Oryctolagus cuniculus: one gene and its partners. The protein of the gene in region 1 interacts with the protein of each later gene in a biochemical or structural test. Links are inferred from orthologs where the notes say so. Each region holds a gene or a part of one and is shown in the gene's direction. Other genes may lie near its edges.

Region 1 (4,963 bases):
AATAAAAAAAAAATAAATAAATAAAAATTGCTAGATAAGTGGCAAGGATTTTTTTTTTTTTTTTTTTTTTTTTTGACAGAGAGAGCTAGACAGTGAGAGAGAGAGAGAGAAAGCACTTGGGCCATCCTCCACTGCTTCCCGGTCCACAGCATAGAGCTGGACTGGAAGAGGAGCAACCGAAACAGAACCCAGAGTGACAGGGATTTTTAAGAGTTTCTCTTTAGCACTGCACTGCTTGTAACTACGCTTATGCCTTCCTCTTTGGCTATAGAGAGGATTAAGGTTGCAATGGCAGGAAAGCGAAATAAAATAATACGCAGAATCCCACGGTGAACGCACACCATGACCTAAGGTCTGGCTAACTTGATCACAAGGCCTCTACTAAAACCAAAAGCTAGAATTCAGGGCTTGAAAAAAGATTGTGATCAGGAAAATGGGAAAGTTAACCCTTTCTGGTTCCATGGAACTGTGGGCAATTTCTGTGCGAAATTAGGTGGTTCTCATCCTACCCTCCTTCTCCTTGTAGAACTGAATTCCTCCATAGGGAAGGGCTCAGAGCCCTCCAGACCAACAAAATCCTCAGGACAGAAACGGAGGCTACAGGGAGGGGGAATTTAGCACCTGAAGGAATGTTCAGGGTCCCCATAGTCCACACCTGTGAGGAGGTGGCACTTGCGCCCATTCGCACCCTACTTGCGAATGCAGAGAAATCTAAAATGAGTTATCTGGGGCTGGCTATATAGCTCCCACGTGCCTCCACGATGCCTTCCTCCAGATCTGAGTCCTTTTGTAGATTTCGTTGACAACCAACCACTCCTGATCTGCTCACGCGGGTGCACCCCCATTTTCTAACAAATCCAAAGAGCAGGCAAATCCGTCGTTATCTTAGAATGAACACAGACCCATTAAAAACTTATTTCCATGGGGCCTTTTTAACTCTTCTGTCTTCACCTAGAAGTAGCAACCTTGGGAACCCCACTGCAAGGCGGGAACAGACATCCGGCAGCCGTGGGGAAACATTTCGGGGCTTTTACTTTGCGTTGTGCTCCCTAGAAGGTGACAGCCTTTCGGTTTTCCCTCCTGCCCCACGGAGCAAAGTTGATAAGCCAATGAGGGATAACAATGAAGTCCTGAGTTACTTGTGGTTCCGTTTTTTAAACTTTGGAATCAATCTATCGTTCCAGCACGACTCCGGCTGTAAGGTCCCGGTATCTGGGACAGACGCGAGGAACAACTAATGAAGACATACCCCGCCCTCCGCTTCCCAGACCCGGCCGAGCAGGTCCAGGGGACGCGCTCACGTGACCCGTTCTAAAGCGTCACAGGGACACGTGGTTCTAGATACTTCGTCCCCTCCCCCTCAGGGGTGGATTGTTGACAACGCCGGCGGCGGCCACGTGACCTTACGTCATCCCTCCTCCTTTCCCCGAAATCTCTGGCCCCGGATGCGGTCCCTCTCTCCCCACCCCGCCGAACCTAAGTTCGTGACGAGGGGGGAAGACAAAGTAGTATTTCCGTTTCTGTGTCGCTTAACCCACCACCTCTGCTCTGAGCACGGAGAACACTAATTTGTCGATCCGTAACAGAAGGCGGAATGGGAGCGATCGCAGCCGGCGGGCTGCAGGAAGCGGCGCCGGCCCGCTCCTCCGCCCGGCTCCCCCTGCTGCCATGGTAGCGGCGGAGGGCGGAGGGATCTGGAGGCGGCGGAGGGAGACGTCATTGCGGGGTTGTTTGTGCAGTCTCGGCGGCGGCGGTGACCCACAGTGATTCGGCCGCCGCGCCGGGGGGTGGGGGGGCTGCGCGGGACTCTTTTTCTTTCAGATTGACCGCGGGGCAGCTGGGGAGCATGTCGACCCCGGCGCGGAGGAGGCTCATGCGGGATTTCAAGCGGTAAGGGCCTCCTCCCGCCCCCCGATGGCGGCTCCTTCCTGAAGCTGTGGGGCTGCAGGGCGGGATCCCGGACACCTTCCCCTGTTGCCTGTAAAGGCGCCGGCTGTGGGCCCGGCGGGACCTACGGAAGCCCGGTGCTGGCCTCGCCAACCTCTCTGAGGACTCAGAAATTCCGCTGCGACCCCTCCCATCCCCCGAAAGTGGAGAGGTGGCGATCGGCCGGCCTGGGGCGCCCTGCACCGCGCGGCGCCCCCTCTCTCTGGCCCAGAAGCGAGCTCTTGAAGGAGCTTGCTCCTCGCCCGCTGCAGCGGTCAGCTTTGTTCCGCGCCCGGGGGACGGGGTTGGGGCCCGGAGCCCCCTCCCCCCCGTTCCTTTGCGCCCCGCGGGGAGGGTGGGGTGTGCCGCGCGAGGTCGGGAGGTGGTTACCCCATCCCCGAAACCCGACTCTGCCCCCGCCGCCTGCCAGGACCTTGAGAGCTGGCGTCGGAGCGGGGCTCGGGCCGCTGAGCGCAGCCCTATCTATAGCCCGCCGGCCCTGGCGCGCGTCCGAGCCCCGCCGAGCCTCCCTTTGTGACTGAGGTGTGGGGGTTGTGGGGAGGAAACTGCCCCTTTTTTGGTTTGTTTGGTTGCCTTGTGCGGGCTACTCGGAGCTCAGAGAAGCAGTGAGAGAGAACTTAGCGGAGGTTTTCTGGGGGTAGACTTGCCTTAATGGGGACTTGGTAGGTGGTATCAAAACTTGGATTTGCCGCTCAAGAAGTAACCTCTCAACTTGGCCATTGTAAAGGCTTATGTAAGGCATTTGGGAGCCATTGTTTGCGCTTTGGCCACCGTGTTAGTTCACTCGTGGCTTCTCGAGCGATTTACAAGGAGGTGTCCAGCTCCTCGGGCTTCCGGTCAGGAGGCCTGGTTTGCCCGATGTTAACTGAAAACCGTGTTTACGTGGCTCACTGCAAAGCACTGTGTGCAAATGAGTGCCTCTGTATTTGTGCCTTAATGTAGTAGTTTTAGTGTGGGGACAGTCTGGAACAGACCTCTGGGGTAGAAATCTTACATCTGAAGCTTAGAATCAGGAACGTTGCATTCGTTCCCATGACTGAAATTCAAGAGGCGAGACTGGCAGCCGGTGCCATTGTTGCCCAGTTCCTGCGGCGAGTGTTTACTGCTGGGGGGAACACATGGCAGGCAGCCTGGTGCTCCTCCAGGGGTCTTCAGAGGAGGAGGTTTCGGTCTTGCTGCCTCATGAGCGCAGCGCCATCAGAGGCAGCCTGCTGGGCAACCCAGCTGCGGGTCACTCCGAAAAGCCGCTGCCCAGCGAAGCACAGGGGATGCAGAAATCCAGACCCTGATGAACCTGAACCCAGGTGCTTTCGGCCCTCACTGTCTGCACTGAGGTTTGCCCTGCAAAGCCCCTTTTTTGCAACCATGTTGCACAAGCAGCTGTAGTTTGGATTCGCACAGTCTGCCTGCTTGGAGCAGCACCATCAATGGTTCCGGGGAAATATTTTTTTTGCCCTTGAGGTTTTACAGCTGTGGGGCAAGAAGGCAGCCTGTGTACGGGCGTTTTTGAAGAGATGTTTTACTCTTGTAGTAGCTCGAGAGGGATGACTCCCAGGTCGTGAGAGGTATTTATGAGTGCGTTAGAATATCCCTGGTGATGTATTTAAGTCATGTGAGTCACTGCAGCCCGGTGCAACAACAAGGAAATGGGTATGGTTTCTGTCTCCGCATAGCTGGTACAGAGGCCATAAGTGTTCTTTTTGGCCTCCTTCGTGGCTCTAATGCTCGCTTTTAAACCGACCACTCTGGATTTCCAGACTGCAGGAGGACCCACCTGTGGGTGTCAGCGGCGCACCGTCGGAAAACAACATCATGCAGTGGAATGCGGTTATATTTGGGTGAGTTGAAAGATTTCAGTTAAGAAAAACTTGAACATTTTGGTAGTCATACCAAGCTTATTTGCTCTTTGGTGGTGTTTCACATATGGTTTAATACTCAATTTTTTACTTGTTAATATAGTAGTTGAGGGCCGGCACCGCGGCTCAATAGGCTAATCCTCCGCCTGTGGCGCCAGCACACCGGGTTCTAGTCCCGGTCGGGGCGCCAGATTCTGTCCCGGTTGCCCCTCTTCCAGGCCAGCTCTCTGCTGTGGCCCAGGAAGGCAGTGGAGGATGGCCCAGGTGCTTGGGCCCTGCACCCCATGGGGAGACCAGGAGAAGTACCTGGCTCCTGCCATCGGATCAGCGCAGTGCGCCGGCCGCAGCACGCCAGCCATGGCAGCCATTGGAGGGTGAACCAATGGCAAAGGAAGACCTTTCTCTCTGTCTCTCTCTCTCACTGTCCACTCTGCCTGTCAAAAAAAAAAAAAAAGTCTTGAAGTCTTGATACCAAGAATATGAGAACTTTGTGACACGACTTGCAGTGAGAATGTTTCACATCTCAGTGTCCCAGTGTGAGATGCCTGGAGCCCTGGGAGAAGCAGCCTTCGATGGGATACTGAGGCTGTTGAGTGTGACCTTTTCTGTGCTGCCACGCTGGTTTTCCTGGACTTGCTCTCTTTTCTTTCATTCTTCTTAAGCTAGCGTTTTGCACTAATATTTGAATATCTGAAATAGTTTCATAAACAACTTGGAGTTGTCAGACTCCATTGTGAGTCTGCATATAATGACCAGTAGAGAAGCAGCAAAGGTCACCGTGCACAGTAAAATGGTTCTGTCACAGTCAGGCTGTTCCCTTGCTGGAGGTCCTGGCTGTGCCCTGCCAGCAGTAATTGCTTTTCCCACTGCTGCTTAGGAAACCTGCGACTGGGGTGTGGCGGCCGGGAGGTGATCTGCGCGAGCGAGCATCCCCTGTGCTGAGCGCGTGCTGTTTGGAGAGCAGGGTGGTCGGGGGCTTTCAGTACACCAGAGAGTATTGACCTCCATCGTGCTCTGTGAAAAGAAAAGGCGATTTTTTTCTCATAGGAGAACACACATCATTTATAATCTGAATTCTTTTTGTGCTGAAATTATGGGCAAGTTGTTTTGGTTTGTTGTATAAAACCACCCTAGGAGAAAAACAGAAAATCAAAGTTACT
Region 2 (4,238 bases), on another chromosome or scaffold:
GTAGCCTGGGCTTCGGAGTCAGCAGATCCTAGTCTGTTCCCAGCTTAGCTACACTCTGGGAATTTTGATCAAGTCACTAACGTGTCTGAATGCAACTTTTTTTCCTTCACAGTGTGAGTTGGGGGCTATTAATAGTAGTCTAAAGCTGGTGGGGAGGCCCCCTGAGGACAGACAGAGCAGGCAAGGTTCATGAAGTGTTAGTTTGTATCAGGGGCTCCCTCCACTTGTAGCCAAGACTTCAAAGTGTGTGTTTGCATTTGCTTTTCCTTTCTTCCTGCAACATTGTGTTTTCTTTTGTTTTGTTTTCCTTTTTTAACCTGGGCCGACTCTCTAGCAAAGCTGGGGTTAGGGGGTTGGACTCTGCAAAACTCCTGCCAGAGCCACTCTGGAGAGTAGGTTCTCAGCAAGGTGTCTCCTGCCATCATGCCACCCTGCTGGATGTCCAGGCCTCCTTTCCCTCTCCCACCCTCCTCCCCTTTCCTCCCCCTGCCGTCCGTGGGATGGAGGGAGAGGAGAATGGTTGCTTATTACTGCTTGCCTACTCCGTGCCAGGCTCCTCGGTCTGTGTTTTTTCTCACCTCAGCCCCATGGGTAAGGTAAGTGGTAGTATCGCCTCCCCCTGCCCCCATTTTACAAATGAGGAAACTGAGGCCCATAAGAGTTTGATTACAGCTGCCAAGGAGTAGCTGGCTAGAGACTTGAAAACTGGAGCTGTCCTGAAGCCACATACGTTTGCTGACTTCTCCACAATGTGTTCTTGTTACTCCCGTCATCCTGCAGGATTGGAGTCTGTCCGTCACTACGCTGGGCTGGGGCGAGGCAGCTGGCTCAGTGGTGAGCTGCATGGATCTGCCAGCCACACCACCTGGGTTCAGCTCTTACCTCTGACGGCTGAGTGACCTTGGGCAAGTCACCTCACCAATCTGCCTGTCTCCTCTTGTGTAAAATGGGGGGACTCATGTGGGACTCATGTTGAAGTCGTCCCCTGCAGTTCCCACTGACCAATCAAGTAATGTCCTCGCGGGCACCAGGCTCACTCCTGCCTTCCTCTTGCCCTCCAGATGTCCAGCTCGCCGCTGTCCAAGAAACGTCGCGTGTCCGGGCCTGATCCAAAGCCGGGTTCTAACTGCTCCCCTGCCCAGTCCGTGTTGCCCCAAGTGCCCTCGGCGCCAACCAACGTGAGTGTCTTCTCTCTGGAGACTGGCAGGTGGGAAGGTACCCCTGTTTGTCCGTGCCCCGCTCCTGCCTGTCTTCCTGACCCGGCGCGTCCTCTCCCTCCCTAGGGAATGGCGAAGAACGGCAGTGAAGCAGACATCGATGAGGGCCTTTACTCCCGGCAGCTGTAAGCGGGGCCGAGGCTGGGCTGAGAGGTGGGAGGCGGGGTACTGCGAAGGGAGGGTTGGGTGGGCCGGGTCCTGACTTGGAGTGCCCCTTAACCTGACAGGTATGTGTTGGGCCATGAGGCGATGAAGCGGCTCCAGACATCCAGCGTTCTGGTGTCAGGCCTGCGGGGCCTGGGGGTAGAGATCGCGAAGAACATCATCCTTGGCGGGGTCAAGGCCGTGACCCTCCATGACCAGGGCACGGCCCAGTGGGCTGACCTCTCCTCCCAGGTACCTCCTTGCCCCCTCGCCTGCTGCTGAGAGACCAGCTCCTCTGGATGCCATCTCCCTTGACCTTTCTGCCGTTGCAGTTCTACCTGCGAGAGGAGGACATAGGGAAAAACCGCGCTGAGGTGTCACAGCCCCGCCTCGCTGAACTCAACAGCTACGTGCCTGTCACCGCCTACACTGGGCCGCTGGTTGAGGACTTCCTCAGTGGCTTCCAGGTACCTTGGGGGTACCACACAGCCTCTTGCCCCATGTGCAGATCCCATCTCTGGGTGCTCAGCACTTGCTTAATGGGCTGACCCTGTGTGCCAGGTTTTGTCCTGGGGGAGCCTAGAGGGTGCCAGCAGGATGAGATTTGGGACTGGCCTTTCTGGGAGGAGGATGCGTGCAGGCAGACAGTGCAGCTTAGGGGCCTGAGCACAGGCGCCAGGGCCACACTGCCCTGCCAGGAGCCTCTCGCTCTCCTGGTAGGGTTTGGGCAGGTCCCTTAGTCTCTGGCTCTTGGTTTTCCCTCTTTGTAGTCTGGGCATGGGAGCAGTACTGACCTCAGAGTTTTGGTGAGGGTTAAGCAGCTGCCACGTGGTAAGGGTTCCATGGGTATTCATTAAAATGTCTGGACTGCAAAGAGGAGCTGTGGAAGCTGAGAGTCAGTCCTGAGGTGTCCCAGGAAGCCAAGGGCACCACAGCTGAATCCCGATGTGGCTAAGTAGGAGCTCACCCTGGCGGGTCAGGATGGACGTATGAGGCAGAGAGCAAAGTCCCCAGGACGGGGCCGGGCAGGCGTTGTCCTGAGAATCGGGAGCAGGTGGGTGTGGTAGGAGTGAGCTCAGACGCTGGCTGCCTCTCCCAGGGCACGGCAGGGTTGTAGGCAGGCAGCAGTGGGTGTTTGTCAAACAAGTGAGTCAGCTGTTCTGCATACTCCATCCTCCCGGCTGCCTCTGCGCCTTTCCAGGCATGCTTTAGGGATTCGGTTTTCTCTTTGCCAAGGCTCACCCTGGTGGAGTCTGACACACAGTAGGTACTTTGCCTTTGTGAAAGAGGACTGAAGTGGCAAAAAGCCCAGCACCTGGGCCTTAAGGACACTTTAGCCCTCTGCACAACCTCCCTTCATTGTTCTCCCCGCTTCGCCCCAGTGCCAGGCCCCCGGCCTGGGCCTCCCTGCTGAGCCGCTCCATCCCTGCAGGTGGTGGTCCTCACTAACAGCCCCCTGGAGGACCAGCTGCGCGTGGGCGAGTTCTGTCATAGCCGTGGCATCAAGCTGGTAGTGGCAGACACGAGAGGCTTGTTTGGGTGAGTGCTGCCCCCCACTCTCTTTGTCCCTGACCTCTGTCAGGCCCAGACTGAGACCCCCAGGCTCCTGTGCCCTCATCCCTCCCCAGCCACCTGAGTTTTGGATTATTTTGTGTTCCTCTGTCCTCCTGTGGCCTGAGTGCCGTCTGGTTCCTGCGGTGATTCCAGCAGTGATGGACTGAGAATTTGCTCAGCAAGTACTCACTGCGTTTTGAGGGATGCATGGGTCTTGGGCGGGGGGCGGGGAGGGGACTTTGGCATCAGCCCTGTTGTCTCTCCCTACAGGCAACTCTTCTGCGACTTTGGAGAGGAAATGATCCTCACAGATTCCAACGGGGAGCAGCCCCTCAGCGCCATGGTTTCTATGGTCACCAAGGTAAGGACCAGACTTGGCTCCTGGCAGGTAGATGGGCAGTGGCAGTCCTTGTGTGCTCCTGGTACCCTCAGCCTGCCTCTGAGGCTCACTCCTTCTTTAACTAGGACAACCCTGGTGTGGTTACCTGCCTGGATGAGGCCCGACATGGGTTTGAGAGTGGCGATTTTGTTTCCTTCTCCGAAGTACAGGGCATGACTGAGCTCAATGGAAACCAGCCCATAGAGATCAAAGTCCTGGGTGAGCCGAGGCCATGGGGGACTCAGGGGAGCCAGGAGCGCAGTGAAGGGGGGATGATGTCCCTGGGTTCCCGGTGAGGGGAGACAGACACATCCTGGGTGTCTGAGATGAACCAGAGACAGAGTCCCCTGGTCCAAGCAGAGCCGGCGGGCATGGGGGAGAGATGCCGTCTGTGTCAGAGCTATTGCTAGGGGAATGGCTCTTGGAGTCTGAACGGGGAGGTCTCTGGTGTTTGAACGAGGCAGATCAGGATGTACTCATACTTCAGCTGATTGGGATGGGGAGCAGAGACGCAGGCTGTTGTGGGGTTTAAGTTGGGTCTGGGGCAGACCAGAGATAGTTTCTGATCCCCAAGTGGAACTTGTCGGGGGAAGAGGGGAGATAGTTCTTGGTGTCTGAGCTGGGGGAAAACAATTATTTCTCATACCTTGTGGGTGTGGAGGATTTTTAGGGAGGGTGGGTAGACTTGACAACTTCCCCATCCATCATAGGTCCTTACACCTTTAGCATCTGTGACACCTCCAACTTCTCCGATTACATCCGTGGAGGCATTGTCAGCCAGGTCAAAGTACCTAAGAAGATAAGCTTTGTGAGTGTGTTGGAGAGGGCAGTGGGCTTGGGGGCGGGGGGTGGGGGGGCTGGCTTGAGGCGTTTCCCCCTCTTCTGTTCCTCTCTTCTGGTTCCCATGCCCTGTCTCTCTCCAACAGAAATCCTTGTCAGCCTCG
Region 3 (3,794 bases), on another chromosome or scaffold:
CCAATGAAGTCCCATTCAGGCTAAAAGAGAATAGTGCTGCTTCAAGTTATAAACTGCACTGGCCATTTAAATAAGATCTCATAGTGTCCATAGTGTACTTGACCTGAATTCTGAATAGTATAGGGTAAATTTCTGCCTCATTAAATATATAACCTATCAAGTTCTTAGTGACTAATGGTGAAGGGACACTATCCCCTTTTAAACCTTTTCTTAGTGGTTCTTCCCAGCTCTAGGAACATGTCAAGAATGCAAACTAATTTCGACAATAAGGCCAAGATAGTTATTTGATTCAAATTTGCATGTTTTTGTTTTGTTTTGTTTTCCCCCAAAGGAGAGGCAACCCTCTTCATTTATCTCATGAGCGATATCGGAAGCTCCATTTGGTCTGGCAACAACACTGCATTATAGAAGAGATTGCTAGGAGCCAGGAAACTAATCAGATGTTATTTGGATTCAACTGGCAGTTGCTGTGAGCTCCAATTCTGCCTCAAGACAATCACGAATGACTTCAGTGGGAAGACTGATTGAGAATTACGGAGACCTTTCCAAGGGCTGGGGAAGGATTGGAGGGTTTTTTGCTCCATGTCCAGATTCACGTACATCAATAAAATATTCCTTAATGGAGTATTGCTTTCAATTAGAAAATGTATGCTTCAAGGGAAAGAAGGACATAGATTATCTGTTTTATGTTCTAGAACACTAAAGAAATGCTTGTTCACGCCATGTGTCTGATTCTGCTAATATTTCCAGGAAGCTCATTCCCCTTCATAATCTGTCCGATTTCATTTCATCCACCTAATGAATGAAGTCACATCAAGTAAATTGTGTACAATGTTGTATTGGATAACTTTTCTGCCATTTTGTGTTTGTTGGTTTTTCCCCCAAGTTTAGTCTAGCTGGCACTGGATCACTGACAAGAGTCTAATATCTGTGATAGTCTTCCTTGCAGCTGAAGAGGAAATGCAGAAATCATGCATTACAGTTCATTTGAGAAAGACTTCAAAAATGTAAACCTATTATTTGTGCTTTAAGGAAATACCCCTAATTTCCACCTGCTGACTCCTATATGGACAGATTGTGATTTCAGCCAGTGTAAAACAGTATTTTTCTTCTGTAGACGCCAAGAGGACCTAGGATACTGCTTTCGTTACTCATTCCTGATGAGAAGAGTAGCCTGTAATCCACACCTCTGACTACAAACAGCTTTGTTAAATTCTGAAATTACACTTTCTATTTCCCAGAGGCAGGTTTCTACAGTGATATTTCTTATCTCTTAATCATGGAACTACCCTATCTGACTCGTAGAAACCTAATATGATTCTGATGGAAACTATTTATAGAATGAGAGTAAGAAAATTCTCCCAGTGAATGGATCATGACAATTGTAAATTAAAACTATCAGATTTAAGCCAACTCTGCAACCTTCTGTGTCTTTGTAAAAGACAAATCCTTGATTTGTTCCCTGTGTGCAACCTTCTCATAAATTCTGGTTGTATGACTAGTACAAACAACTTTAAAAAGCCATGTAATCAGTAGTCTGCATCCCATAATAAATGCCCTGTGGTTGAGCCATCTTGTTTATAGATAACCGAAGTCTCCCGACTCTGTGCATAGACTTCTTGGTTTTGGGCTTTAACTTTTTATATCAAGAACTTGTGATACAAAACAAAAGACAGAAGATATATTGAAACCCTCTATTTTAGCTTCTGTTTTCTCTGGGGTAATGTCAGGTGTTTGAAAGATTCAAAGACTGTATCTTATTTTGACTTTGGCTACTACTGTCTTATATGTGTGGAAGTGTTTTGCTAACTGCTTTTTGCTCAGCAAAGGCAAGCAAATAAAAATATATATGCTAAGTGATTCATGCACATTTGGGGCGAGGTATTTTTTTTTTTGGTACTTTTATGTAAAGAAAAGTGAATTTTGTGGTAAGGGCTTGGCAGGAGCCAGTATCGGAATCACAATCATGAATTTTACTTGAATAATTGCTATTCAGAAGATATCAGGAAATATCTACAACTGTAATGAATTTGTAACAATCAACAGGTGAGGATCAGAAAACTCAGTATTCACTTTGTCAGATTTGCCAGTTTAAATGATTTGAACATTTTCCTTTGTTTCTTATATAATTTATCTGATGGATTGTTTGGAAGTCTGACCTAGAATAGACAACAGAAAATGCTGATTTCTGCCCTGATTGGCCCCAGTTTAACAAAATAAACTTTCATTCAAGTTGTTTCATGTTCACTTCATAAATCCTGGAGTTAAGTTCTCAAGCTGCCAGAAGGACTACCTGGCGATGGCCAGCCAGACCTTAGCTGCCAAAGAGCACACTTCTTACTGAGTTCTGCTTATTGGGCTTGATTCAGATCTCCACACTATAGATGAACGTAAGTTTCAGCGCTGCCCCAAGCCCGAAGGATTTCTCATTATGTTCAGATGTACCAGTGGTATGCCTTCATCACTGCAAACAATTATGCTTATGAAGTTTACTCACAAACAGCCAAGTCACTTTGTTTTCTTTAGCACAGTAAATGAAGGAACAAGTTCAACAGGATGGCCCCAAAACTGTGTTTCTCAAATGTTTAATGAGGGACTGGCAAGAATTTTAATGATACAGTGAAGAAAAACATATCTGTAAAATTAATTTATTATGTTGGTGTATGGGCTGTGAGTTCATCTTTTAGTGGTCATTTGTCATTTCATAACAACTATGCATTTTGGTTCACTGTGATGATGATCTATATTTAGTGACTGCAACATGTTTATACCACTGATTCAAATTCCATCCATGATGAAGTTATACAAATAATGCATATATTGATATCTTTTATTGCAAAAATGTAAATTTAAAACTTGTATAATGTTCTTGTGCTTTTTGAAATAAAATATATGTGTATATTTAAAAAGAAAAAAGGGACTTCTCATGTTTGGGGATTTGGGTTTGAAGTATAAAAATTTATAACTAGATAAAAGCTATAGTAAAAAATTATGCTTATCAGTTCAGGCAAATTTTTTAGAAGACACAGATGTTTAGTGTAAATGGATGTCCAAAGTTTTTGACCATGCATTCCATCTGTAAATAGTTTTTTAAGCATACATACCAAATATAAGTACATATTTTTTTGTGTTCATATAGTACCATGCTAATACATTAAGTATGATGAAAAACAGCTCAGAGGTGGGCATTTGGCCTGACAGTTAAGACCCAGATTGGGGCACTCACATCCTGTACTGGAGTGCCTGAGTTCATGCCCTGGTTCTGCTTCCATTTTCAGCTCCCAGGAAATGTATGCCCTGAGACACAGCAGGTGATGGCTGAAGTAACTGGGTCCCTGCCACCCACATGGGAGACCTGTACTGAGTTCTCAGCTTCTGCTTCAGCTTGGCCTGCCCTTGGCATTGTGGGCATTTGAGGAGTGAACCAGCAAATAGGAGTTCTCTGTCTCTAGCTCTCCCTCTCTAATAGATAAAAATTAGTAAATACATTTTTTAAAACATAGCTCAAGGAAGGGAGATTAAAAGACCACTTGAAATAGAAACAGATATTTAAGTATCTTCCAAGTGAACCTGTACATCCCTTTGTGTATGCACACTTTATTGTGCAGACAGCTGTCTGGAGCAACACTGCCCGGAAAAGTTCTGCATTTGCATTGCAGGGTAGTAGTCACCATCTTCACATGGCTACTCAGTGCTTGGAATGTGGCTAGTAGAGGACCTGAATTACTGATTTTATTCATTTTAATTAAATGTACAGTCCTAATTGGGTAGTGGCTACCATATGGGCATCATAT
Region 4 (2,964 bases), on another chromosome or scaffold:
GCCCCAAAGCAGTTGCACCGAGGTGATTAACGACATATTTGGTCAAGGAGCTACAAAAACATTTCCATCTTCATCGTATCTTCACATCTGATGGAAATAAACAGCGCCCACCCCCCACCCACGGAAGCGATTACGAAATTGGCGGGATAGAAAAACGAATCCGTCGATATCGGTTCAAGCCGTTTGTGTCCGCTACGTGCCAGGCACTGATGGGCGCTGAAGATACGGAGGAAAAGCAGGCCAGCAGGGCCTTTGTCCCGGTTTGAAGAAAGACCATTAACGAGAAAGCAAATGAGCCAGCGAATTTCAGCCAGCTGCGTGGACGAAGATGAAAACACACAACAGACAGGGCCAAAGGGCAGGCTCCTGAGCGGATGCCGCTGGCAGCGGTTCTTAATCCCCGAGCTAAACCACCCGTGTCTTGCAGTGACCTGGGGCAGGCTTCCCAGCACAGAGCATTAAATGCAAAAATCATTTACGGACTTAAGGAATCCTAGGACTCTCCAAGCTACAACGTCAGAGGCGGAAAACAAAGTCTTTAAGAATTCTCGAGTGGCGCGAATTTTGAATATTCATGCCGCCCAATCAGGAAAAGTCTGACCCTCAGCGGCGCGGGCTCCGCCCCAGAGCACAGCACCGGTCACCCGCAGGCCCGCAGGCCCGCAGGCCGAGCCCTCCCCGCGCCGAGCTGGCCACCCCGCCGCTTCCGGTGCTAAGCTGCTGCTGTACACAGCGGCCGCCGGACGCGCCTACTTGTGTCCTGCAGTCTTCCTAAACCAATAGCTGCAATCAGCCACTCGAGTTTAAGACGGCCCAGCGTGTGTAACAAAGCCGCCCGGCCACTGCCGCAACGCAGAGGGGTAGGGGCGGGCCATCGCCGCTGTTAGGAGTGAAGACGCACTTGGCACTCAACGCAAGTCCAATCACGCGCCGGGAACCTCGGGGTCGGAACGTCTTAGAGAATGCCAAGTACTCCACCCCCACTACGTCTGGGCTGCAGTAACTTACTTGTGCGAAGGGACTAAGGGGGGACGTTATGTGAACACGGCTCTTTCCCGATCAGATGGGTGGCTCTGAAAAGAGCCTTTGTGGGTTAGCGGCACGGCAGGGCCTCACTTGGAGCTGGTGTACTTGGTGACAGCCTTGGTGCCCTCGGACACGGCGTGCTTGGCCAGCTCGCCGGGCAGAAGCAGGCGCACGGCCGTCTGGATCTCCCGGGACGTGATGGTCGAGCGCTTGTTGTAGTGCGCCAGGCGCGACGCCTCGCCGGCGATGCGCTCGAAGATGTCGTTGACGAACGAGTTCATGATGCCCATGGCCTTGGACGAGATGCCGGTGTCGGGGTGCACTTGCTTGAGCACCTTGTACACGTAGATGGAGTAGCTCTCCTTGCGGCTGCGCTTGCGCTTCTTGCCGTCTTTCTTCTGCGCCTTGGTGACAGCTTTCTTGGAGCCCTTCTTGGGCGCGGGCGCGGACTTGGCTGGCTCGGGCATGGTAAACACCACACCAACGCGATACAGCGGGGAAAAGGAATAAGAGGATGGGCGGGCCTGATCCTCTTATAACCATCTTATGCAAATTAGGAATCAAAATGGCTTTCGTTTCCATTGGTCCGTGCAGGAAAGTTGCGTTTTCGGTAAAAGCCTGCGTAATGACAACAGCTCGACTTTATTGGCTGTTTCTGAAGCCATATTAGGACCAATGAAAAGCTCGTTCCTGACCCCACCCCCAGGGAAGCTTATAAAGGCTTTCTTCGTGGGTTCCTTTCAATCTTGTTTTGTTGCGAGGTTCTGCGCCCTAGCTGGGTTTGGTTTCTTTTTCTTAACTATGTCTGGTCGTGGCAAGCAAGGAGGCAAGGCGCGCGCCAAGGCCAAGTCGCGGTCGTCGCGCGCCGGGCTGCAGTTCCCCGTGGGCCGGGTGCACCGGCTGCTGCGCAAGGGCAACTACGCCGAGCGCGTCGGCGCCGGCGCGCCCGTCTACATGGCGGCCGTGCTCGAGTACCTGACGGCCGAGATCCTGGAGCTGGCGGGCAACGCGGCGCGCGACAACAAGAAGACGCGCATCATCCCGCGCCACCTGCAGCTGGCCATCCGCAACGACGAGGAGCTCAACAAGCTGCTGGGCAAGGTGACGATCGCGCAGGGCGGCGTGCTGCCCAACATCCAGGCTGTGCTGCTGCCAAAGAAAACCGAAAGCCACAAAGCCAAAAGCAAATAAATTTGACGACCTGAACCAAAGACCAAAGGCTCTTTTTAGAGCCACCCAAGTTGTCAAAGAAAGAGCTAACGCGCTGCTTGTTATCAGCCCTCCGCTTGACACTGTGGTGGCTCTTAAAAGAGCCTTTTGGGTGGACGGGAGTGGTGTCACGCCTAATCAATCACTTGCTCTTGCCAGGCTTGTGGCTCTCCGTCTTCTTGGGCAGCAGCACGGCCTGGATGTTGGGCAGCACGCCGCCCTGCGCGATGGTGACACCCCCGAGTAACTTGTTGAGCTCCTCGTCATTTCTCACGGCCAGCTGCAGGTGGCGCGGGATGATGCGCGTCTTCTTGTTGTCGCGCGCCGCGTTGCCCGCCAGCTCCAGGATCTCGGCCGTCAGGTACTCGAGCACGGCCGCCAGGTACACCGGGGCGCCGGCGCCGACGCGCTCGGCGTAGTTGCCCTTGCGCAGCAGCCGGTGCACCCGGCCCACGGGGAACTGCAGCCCGGCGCGCGATGACCGCGACTTGGCCTTGGCGCGCGCCTTGCCGCCTTGCTTTCCGCGTCCAGACATGACGGCTAAAAACCTGATTTCAGCTTGTTTTTCTAGGAGAGGCTATGGAAAGGATAGGCAATTTGATGTAATTTATAAGAGCTACCGGGAGGGGTGAAGGGAGGCAGTTTTATTGGCCGAGAGCGGCAGCCAATAGGAAAGCGGCACTCGGCCTTTCGGTTTGCATCCTGCGGCTGCGAGGAAATGACGGCTTT
Region 5 (4,804 bases), on another chromosome or scaffold:
CCAGCCGCTGCCTCTCACCAGTGCAGGCCTTGTGCAGATCCTGGAGCAGGGCACACACCGTGGACGTCTGCTCTAGCGAGAAGCCCTGCTGGCGGCAGAAGATGAGTGCGTGGTGGAAGAGATCGAGGACGATGGCATCCCGCAGGCTCTGCGAAGGCTGGCTTAGCCCCAGCAGCTCAGCCAGCAGCCTGGGTGGGGAGTGAGGACGGCGGGAGCCAGCGTTTCCTCACGTCCTCCCAGCCGCCGCCCCGCCCCAGCCCGGCCCAGCCCGGCCCGTACTGCCTCGTCTCTTCCGTGCTCGCTGTCTTCTCCAGCTGCTGCATGGAGTGGATGTCCAGGTACTTCCTGTCACGGGGAAGAGGGGACGGAGTACTGATGCCTCCTGTCAGAGCGTCAGGTTGTCTGGCAGGAGGCCTGAGGTTGAGGTTTGGCTCTGTCACTAACGTGCACCTTGAGCAAGTCACTTCCCTCTGTGGCCTGGGGTTAGGAAACCTGTGTTCAGCCACAGATGACCTAGGTCAGTGCAGGCCCCACTGTCCCCGTGGCAGCTGCGATATTCTATCCATAGCCTCGGTCCTTGGTGCCTCTTTGCAGCTGGGAGGTTACAAGGCTGTGTGCCCGTCACCGAGTCGTGGCATCTCTGGCCTCAGCCTTCTCCTCCGTGCAATGGGAACGGCGCAGTTGCTGGGTGGGGCTGCTGGGAGGAGGCACCGGAATCCCCACCCCCCAAGCAGTTCGCACTCACCACATGCAGATCCGGGGCTGGGGCAGCGGCGGCTGCGGAGAGAAAGCAGCTTGGGAGGGGAGAGCTGTGCTGTCTGCGGTCCCTAAACCCTGGTCGGTGGCCAGCGCCCAGCGGGCCCGAACGCGCTCTAACTGGCCGCCTCATTTCCAGGTCCGCGTCCAGGCAACGCGGTCGGGGCTGGACTTCGTGGATAACGTTATCCATGAACACATTCACAATCGGGGGCACAAGTCCCCCACCGCTTTTCACCAAGGCAGCCCGGGAAAGTCTAGAACAGGTGGCGCCCCGTCGGAGGGCCCTTCTGTGAGCATTCACGAGCGGACCACTGCGTCTCGCCCTCACCGGGAACAAGTTGGCTGCGGGATCTTCGTCGGCCGCCGCGACCGACTCGGTCCGCACACCCATTTCCATCTGCACCGGATCCACCCCCGGGGCTGAGATCCTTCTGTTCAAGCTCCGGCTGGGGTCGGCTGGACGTCTGGCTGACCGATGCCGTTGCTCCCTCGCGCCGCCGGCGATCTGGGTCTCCAGCAGCTCTCGCCAAGGCCCGGCCCCCTAGCGACGCTTCAGCCAATCTACACCGGAGAGACGCTGGATGCAGCCAATCCGCCGGAGAGGGCGGCTCCTTCCGCCTCCACGGTGACCGTTGCTAAGGGGCCCTGTGGAAGAAGACATAACGTATAAAATGCACGCACACGCCAACCAGCGAGGGGGCGTGCGCATGTGTAATAAGTTGCAAGCGCCCACACGGGTGCCGTCTCGCCAAAGTTGGGACCAGCAGGATTGTCCTGAGGGCTGGAAAGTGAGTGCGGTGTCAGTTACCATGGAAACTGTCTACTGGCTAATCGCGGGGAGAAAGAGAGGGCGTTCCGAAAGGAACCCAACCACGCGAGAGGCACGACCCATAGAAACAGGAAATAGAGGAGGTTCGCCACATCCGGCGCGGCTCTGGCGCCTGCGCGCTGCGGCGGGGAGGCCGGTGACGTCCGGTGGGATCCAAGATGGCGGCGCTAGGCTGAGCCTGCCGTCGGTAAGGGTGTCGGGGCCGGCGGGGGCGGGATCCGAGCAGGGTATCTGCGCGGGGGCCGCTCCGGGCTGTGGCGCGCCGGCCGCTCCCACGCCTCTGCTCTGCCTTCTGCAGGGGAAGTGCCGCCTCCGCCCGCCTGACGCCCCTCGGGGGACCCTGCGCCGCTCCCCGTCCCCGCCGCGGCCATGTCCGGGCCCGGCAACAAACGCGCCGCCGGCGACGGGGGCTCGGGGCCCCCGGAGAAGAAGCTGAGCCGCGAGGAGAAGACCACCACCACTCTCATCGAGCCCATTCGGCTCGGGGGCATCTCCTCCACGGTTCGTGGGCTCCTGCCACCGCCCTCAGAGCTGCCACACTGCTGCCTCTTGTGCTTCGCCCAAACCGCCCGAGCTCGTGCTCCCAGCTCCCCGCGCGAAGCCAAGTCCACGTGGAAACCGAGGACACGGTGCCCCGTCTGCCCCTCGCAGATAGGAAATGGGTTGCCAGAGGGCGCTGGCCTCTGAGTCGGAACGGGACGGCGGCAGGAGTAGGCATTTCCCCCTGTGGGCGCCTTGAGTCGCTCTGAATCCCGTTAAGCAGTATGGCCGTCCCCGCCCCCCTCCCGGTTCCTCTCCTGTGTGCGATCCGTTTCCGGGTGGTCAAGCCCCCGTGTTGTGTGTTGGTAGGAGGAGATGGACTTGAAAGTTCTTCAGTTCAAGAACAAGAAACTGGCGGAGCGTTTGGAACAGAGGCAGGCCTGCGAGGACGAGCTCCGCGAGCGGATTGAGAAGCTGGAGAAGCGCCAGGCCACGGACGATGCCACCCTCCTCATCGTCAACCGCTACTGGGCCCAGGTCCATAGCCTTTTCCGCCCTCTGAGACGCGGCCATGCTCCAGCCGCCGCTGTCCCGTTGCCGGCCGGGAAAGGAGCCCAGTGGCCGGCCGCAGCGAGGGAGCCCTAACTTGTGGGTGCTTTCTCCCTTCAGCTGGACGAGACTGTGGAAGCCCTTCTGCGTTGTCACGAGAGCCAGGGCGAGCTGTCTGCAGGAGCGGAGGCGCTTGGGACGCAGGAGGGGCCGCCGCGCGATGGGACCCCTCTCCCAGAGCCAGGGACGTCGGAGCTGAGGGGTAGGGCCAGAGCCCTGGAATCCGGGGTACTGCCGTTCTGGGAAGAGATCTAAAGAGGAGGGGGCTCTGGTACGGGGCTGCTGAGTGTCTTCACCTCCCACTGCCCCGTGGGCAGCAAACGGCTTTGGCATCTGATTCGCTTGGTTCGCAGCGAGTTTATTTTTATGTTTTGCTGCCCGTGAATTTGAAAGTCTTATGTGTTGGCTGTGTGCTTAGCATTGTTCCAGACGCGGAGAAATCAAACAGGGAAGAAGCGGTCATAAGTTACAGTAAGGAAAAAGTATGGAGGCCCCTGAAAGGGACAGTGCATGCATGTGTGTGTGCGTGTGTGTGTCTAGATTGCAAAGGTCCCCCTAAGGGACAGATGTGACAGCTCTTGTGGATGTGGTTTGGCCTCTTTGAACTTGTGTTGTCTCGTTTGCAAGGTGGCACAGCCGTGCACTGTAGGTTGCGTCCAGGGGCCAGGGGAGTGTTGAAGAACTCAGTCTGGAACTTGGCAGCAGTTAGCGGGGATGTCCGTGACCGTGACCGTGACCCTCCCCCTCCTAAGGGTCTGTCCCTCCCTCCCAGAGCCCTTGCCGGTGCAGCTGCGGCCCCCTCTCAGCGAGCCGGCCTTGGCTTTTGTGGTGGCCTTGGGTGCCAGCAGCAGTGAGGAGGTGGAGCTGCAGCTGCAGGGCCGGATGGAGTTCTCCAAGGCAGCCGTGTCGCGGGTGGTGGAGGCCTCAGACCGTCTGCAGCGCCGAGTGGAGGAACTGTGTCAGCGGGTGTACGGCCGAGGTTGGTTTGCCGTGGCCCACCCCACAGCTGTCCCTCCCCACCTGTATCTCCATGCGACCCCACGCCCCCAGCCCACGGGCCGCCAGAAGTCCACAAGGAACAGATCAGCTGTGTTTTCAGGAAAAAGGGTTAGGTTGCCGGTGGGGGTTTCAGTTTGATTCTTGCAGTTAAAACCTCAAGAGCTGGGCTGGAGGAGAGGGTGGTGGTTGGCAGCCCCCTTTCAGCTGGAGACCTCTCTGAGTCCTTGTCCAAACCTCAGTGGCCGTTGGCTGATCCACACAGCGCAGCTGCAAATGTCCGCGCTTGGCAGGTTGACAGGCTCCTCCCAGCCTTAGTTTTGTCGCCCTAGCCTGGGCGCTCTGGGCAGATGACTGCCCTTTCTGAGCTGGTTTCTTCCTCTGGCGAGCGGGCATAAAGACTCTGTCGTAGGAAGTTGGCAAGACAGCTGGTGGATCATGCTGGGCACATGGGAGGCTCCAGATGCGTTAGTGCTTTGCCCCCTTGCGCTGGGCTTGGCTTTTACCGGGGCCCTGCTTTCCCAGGGGACAGTGAGCCCCCCAGTGAAGTGGCTCGGGCTCGCACCCGGGAGCTAGGCCGGGAGAACCGGAGGCTGCAGGACTTGGCCACGCAGCTGCAGGAGAAGCACCACCGCATCTCGCTGGAGGTGGGTGTTGGAGCTGGGCTCTTGGTTGGGATGACAAGCGTGGCTGGGTTCCGGTAAGGGTGGGGGGCGGGGCCACCCATCTGCCTCCTCCCACACCCCCCAGTACTCCGAGCTCCAGGATAAAGTGACGTCGGCAGAGACCAAGGTGCTGGAGATGGAGACGACGGTGGAGGACCTGCAGTGGGACATCGAGAAGCTGCGCAAGCGAGAGCAGAAGCTCAATAAGCACCTGGCGGAGGCCTTGGAGCAGGTAGCCGGGCTGCTGGGCCGTCAGCGCCGCGGCTGGGCACCGGGGGCCCTGGGTCCTGCATTCACGCCGGTCATCTCTGTGCCCGTCGCAGCTCAACTCCGGCTACTACGTGTCTGGGAGCTCGTCGGGTTTCCAGGGGGGCCAGATCACGCTCAGCATGCAAAAGGTGAGCCGCGCTGGCCCTGCCGGCCTCCCGGAAGTCCCTGCAGCAGGGAGGAGAAGCCTCGCTCCCCC

What was found.
Region 2: of the proteins of UBE2B (region 1) and UBA1, one has a biochemical effect on the other in vitro, tested with the Homo sapiens proteins (10 studies listed by BioGRID, with this or other methods). The link is inferred for Oryctolagus cuniculus from reciprocal best matches to the Homo sapiens genes UBE2B and UBA1.
Region 3: the proteins of UBE2B (region 1) and UBR1 form a complex in vitro, tested with the Homo sapiens proteins (2 studies listed by BioGRID and IntAct, with this or other methods). The link is inferred for Oryctolagus cuniculus from reciprocal best matches to the Homo sapiens genes UBE2B and UBR1.
Region 4: of the proteins of UBE2B (region 1) and histone H2A type 2-C, one has a biochemical effect on the other in vitro, tested with the Homo sapiens proteins (2 studies listed by BioGRID, with this or other methods). The link is inferred for Oryctolagus cuniculus from reciprocal best matches to the Homo sapiens genes UBE2B and H2AC20.
Region 5: the proteins of UBE2B (region 1) and RNF40 form a complex in vitro, tested with the Homo sapiens proteins (3 studies listed by BioGRID). The link is inferred for Oryctolagus cuniculus from reciprocal best matches to the Homo sapiens genes UBE2B and RNF40.

The regions. Positions count from the first base shown.
Region 1 is NC_091437.1:22,632,633-22,637,595, forward strand, and holds the start of UBE2B (ubiquitin-conjugating enzyme E2 B), read left to right. Parts: upstream 1-1,843; 5' UTR 1,844-1,846; coding exon 1,847-1,890; intron 1,891-1,913; exon of another isoform or gene 1,914-2,469; intron 2,470-3,704; coding exon 3,705-3,785; intron 3,786-4,963. UniProt on the Homo sapiens protein: E2 ubiquitin-conjugating enzyme that accepts ubiquitin from the ubiquitin-activating enzyme E1 and transfers it to a E3 ubiquitin-protein ligase. In vitro catalyzes 'Lys-11'-, as well as 'Lys-48'- and 'Lys-63'-linked polyubiquitination.
Region 2 is NC_091453.1:32,732,154-32,736,391, forward strand, and holds part of UBA1 (ubiquitin-like modifier-activating enzyme 1), read left to right. Parts: intron 1-557; exon of another isoform or gene 558-596; intron 597-780; 5' UTR 781-905; intron 906-1,061; coding exon 1,062-1,178; intron 1,179-1,283; coding exon 1,284-1,342; intron 1,343-1,444; coding exon 1,445-1,613; intron 1,614-1,693; coding exon 1,694-1,828; intron 1,829-2,793; coding exon 2,794-2,900; intron 2,901-3,185; coding exon 3,186-3,276; intron 3,277-3,380; coding exon 3,381-3,513; intron 3,514-4,004; coding exon 4,005-4,102; intron 4,103-4,220; coding exon 4,221-4,238. UniProt on the Homo sapiens protein: Catalyzes the first step in ubiquitin conjugation to mark cellular proteins for degradation through the ubiquitin-proteasome system.
Region 3 is NC_091443.1:65,928,582-65,932,375, reverse strand, and holds the end of UBR1 (E3 ubiquitin-protein ligase UBR1), read left to right. Parts: intron 1-331; coding exon 332-473; 3' UTR 474-2,916; downstream 2,917-3,794. UniProt on the Homo sapiens protein: E3 ubiquitin-protein ligase which is a component of the N-end rule pathway. Recognizes and binds proteins bearing specific N-terminal residues that are destabilizing according to the N-end rule, leading to their ubiquitination and subsequent degradation.
Region 4 is NC_091438.1:48,064,815-48,067,778, reverse strand, and holds histone H2A type 2-C, read left to right. Parts: upstream 1-1,764; 5' UTR 1,765-1,827; coding exon 1,828-2,217; 3' UTR 2,218-2,263; downstream 2,264-2,964. Other genes in the region: histone H2B type 2-E, read right to left, coding at 1,113-1,493; histone H2A type 2-B, read right to left, coding at 2,378-2,770. UniProt on the Homo sapiens protein: Core component of nucleosome. Nucleosomes wrap and compact DNA into chromatin, limiting DNA accessibility to the cellular machineries which require DNA as a template.
Region 5 is NC_091450.1:6,351,791-6,356,594, reverse strand, and holds the start of RNF40 (E3 ubiquitin-protein ligase BRE1B), read left to right. Parts: upstream 1-1,640; 5' UTR 1,641-1,775; intron 1,776-1,886; 5' UTR 1,887-1,957; coding exon 1,958-2,089; intron 2,090-2,437; coding exon 2,438-2,605; intron 2,606-2,737; coding exon 2,738-2,879; intron 2,880-3,449; coding exon 3,450-3,656; intron 3,657-4,198; coding exon 4,199-4,320; intron 4,321-4,423; coding exon 4,424-4,570; intron 4,571-4,661; coding exon 4,662-4,736; intron 4,737-4,804. Other genes in the region: CFAP119 (cilia- and flagella-associated protein 119), read right to left, coding at 19-188, 280-345, 746-777, 1,088-1,156.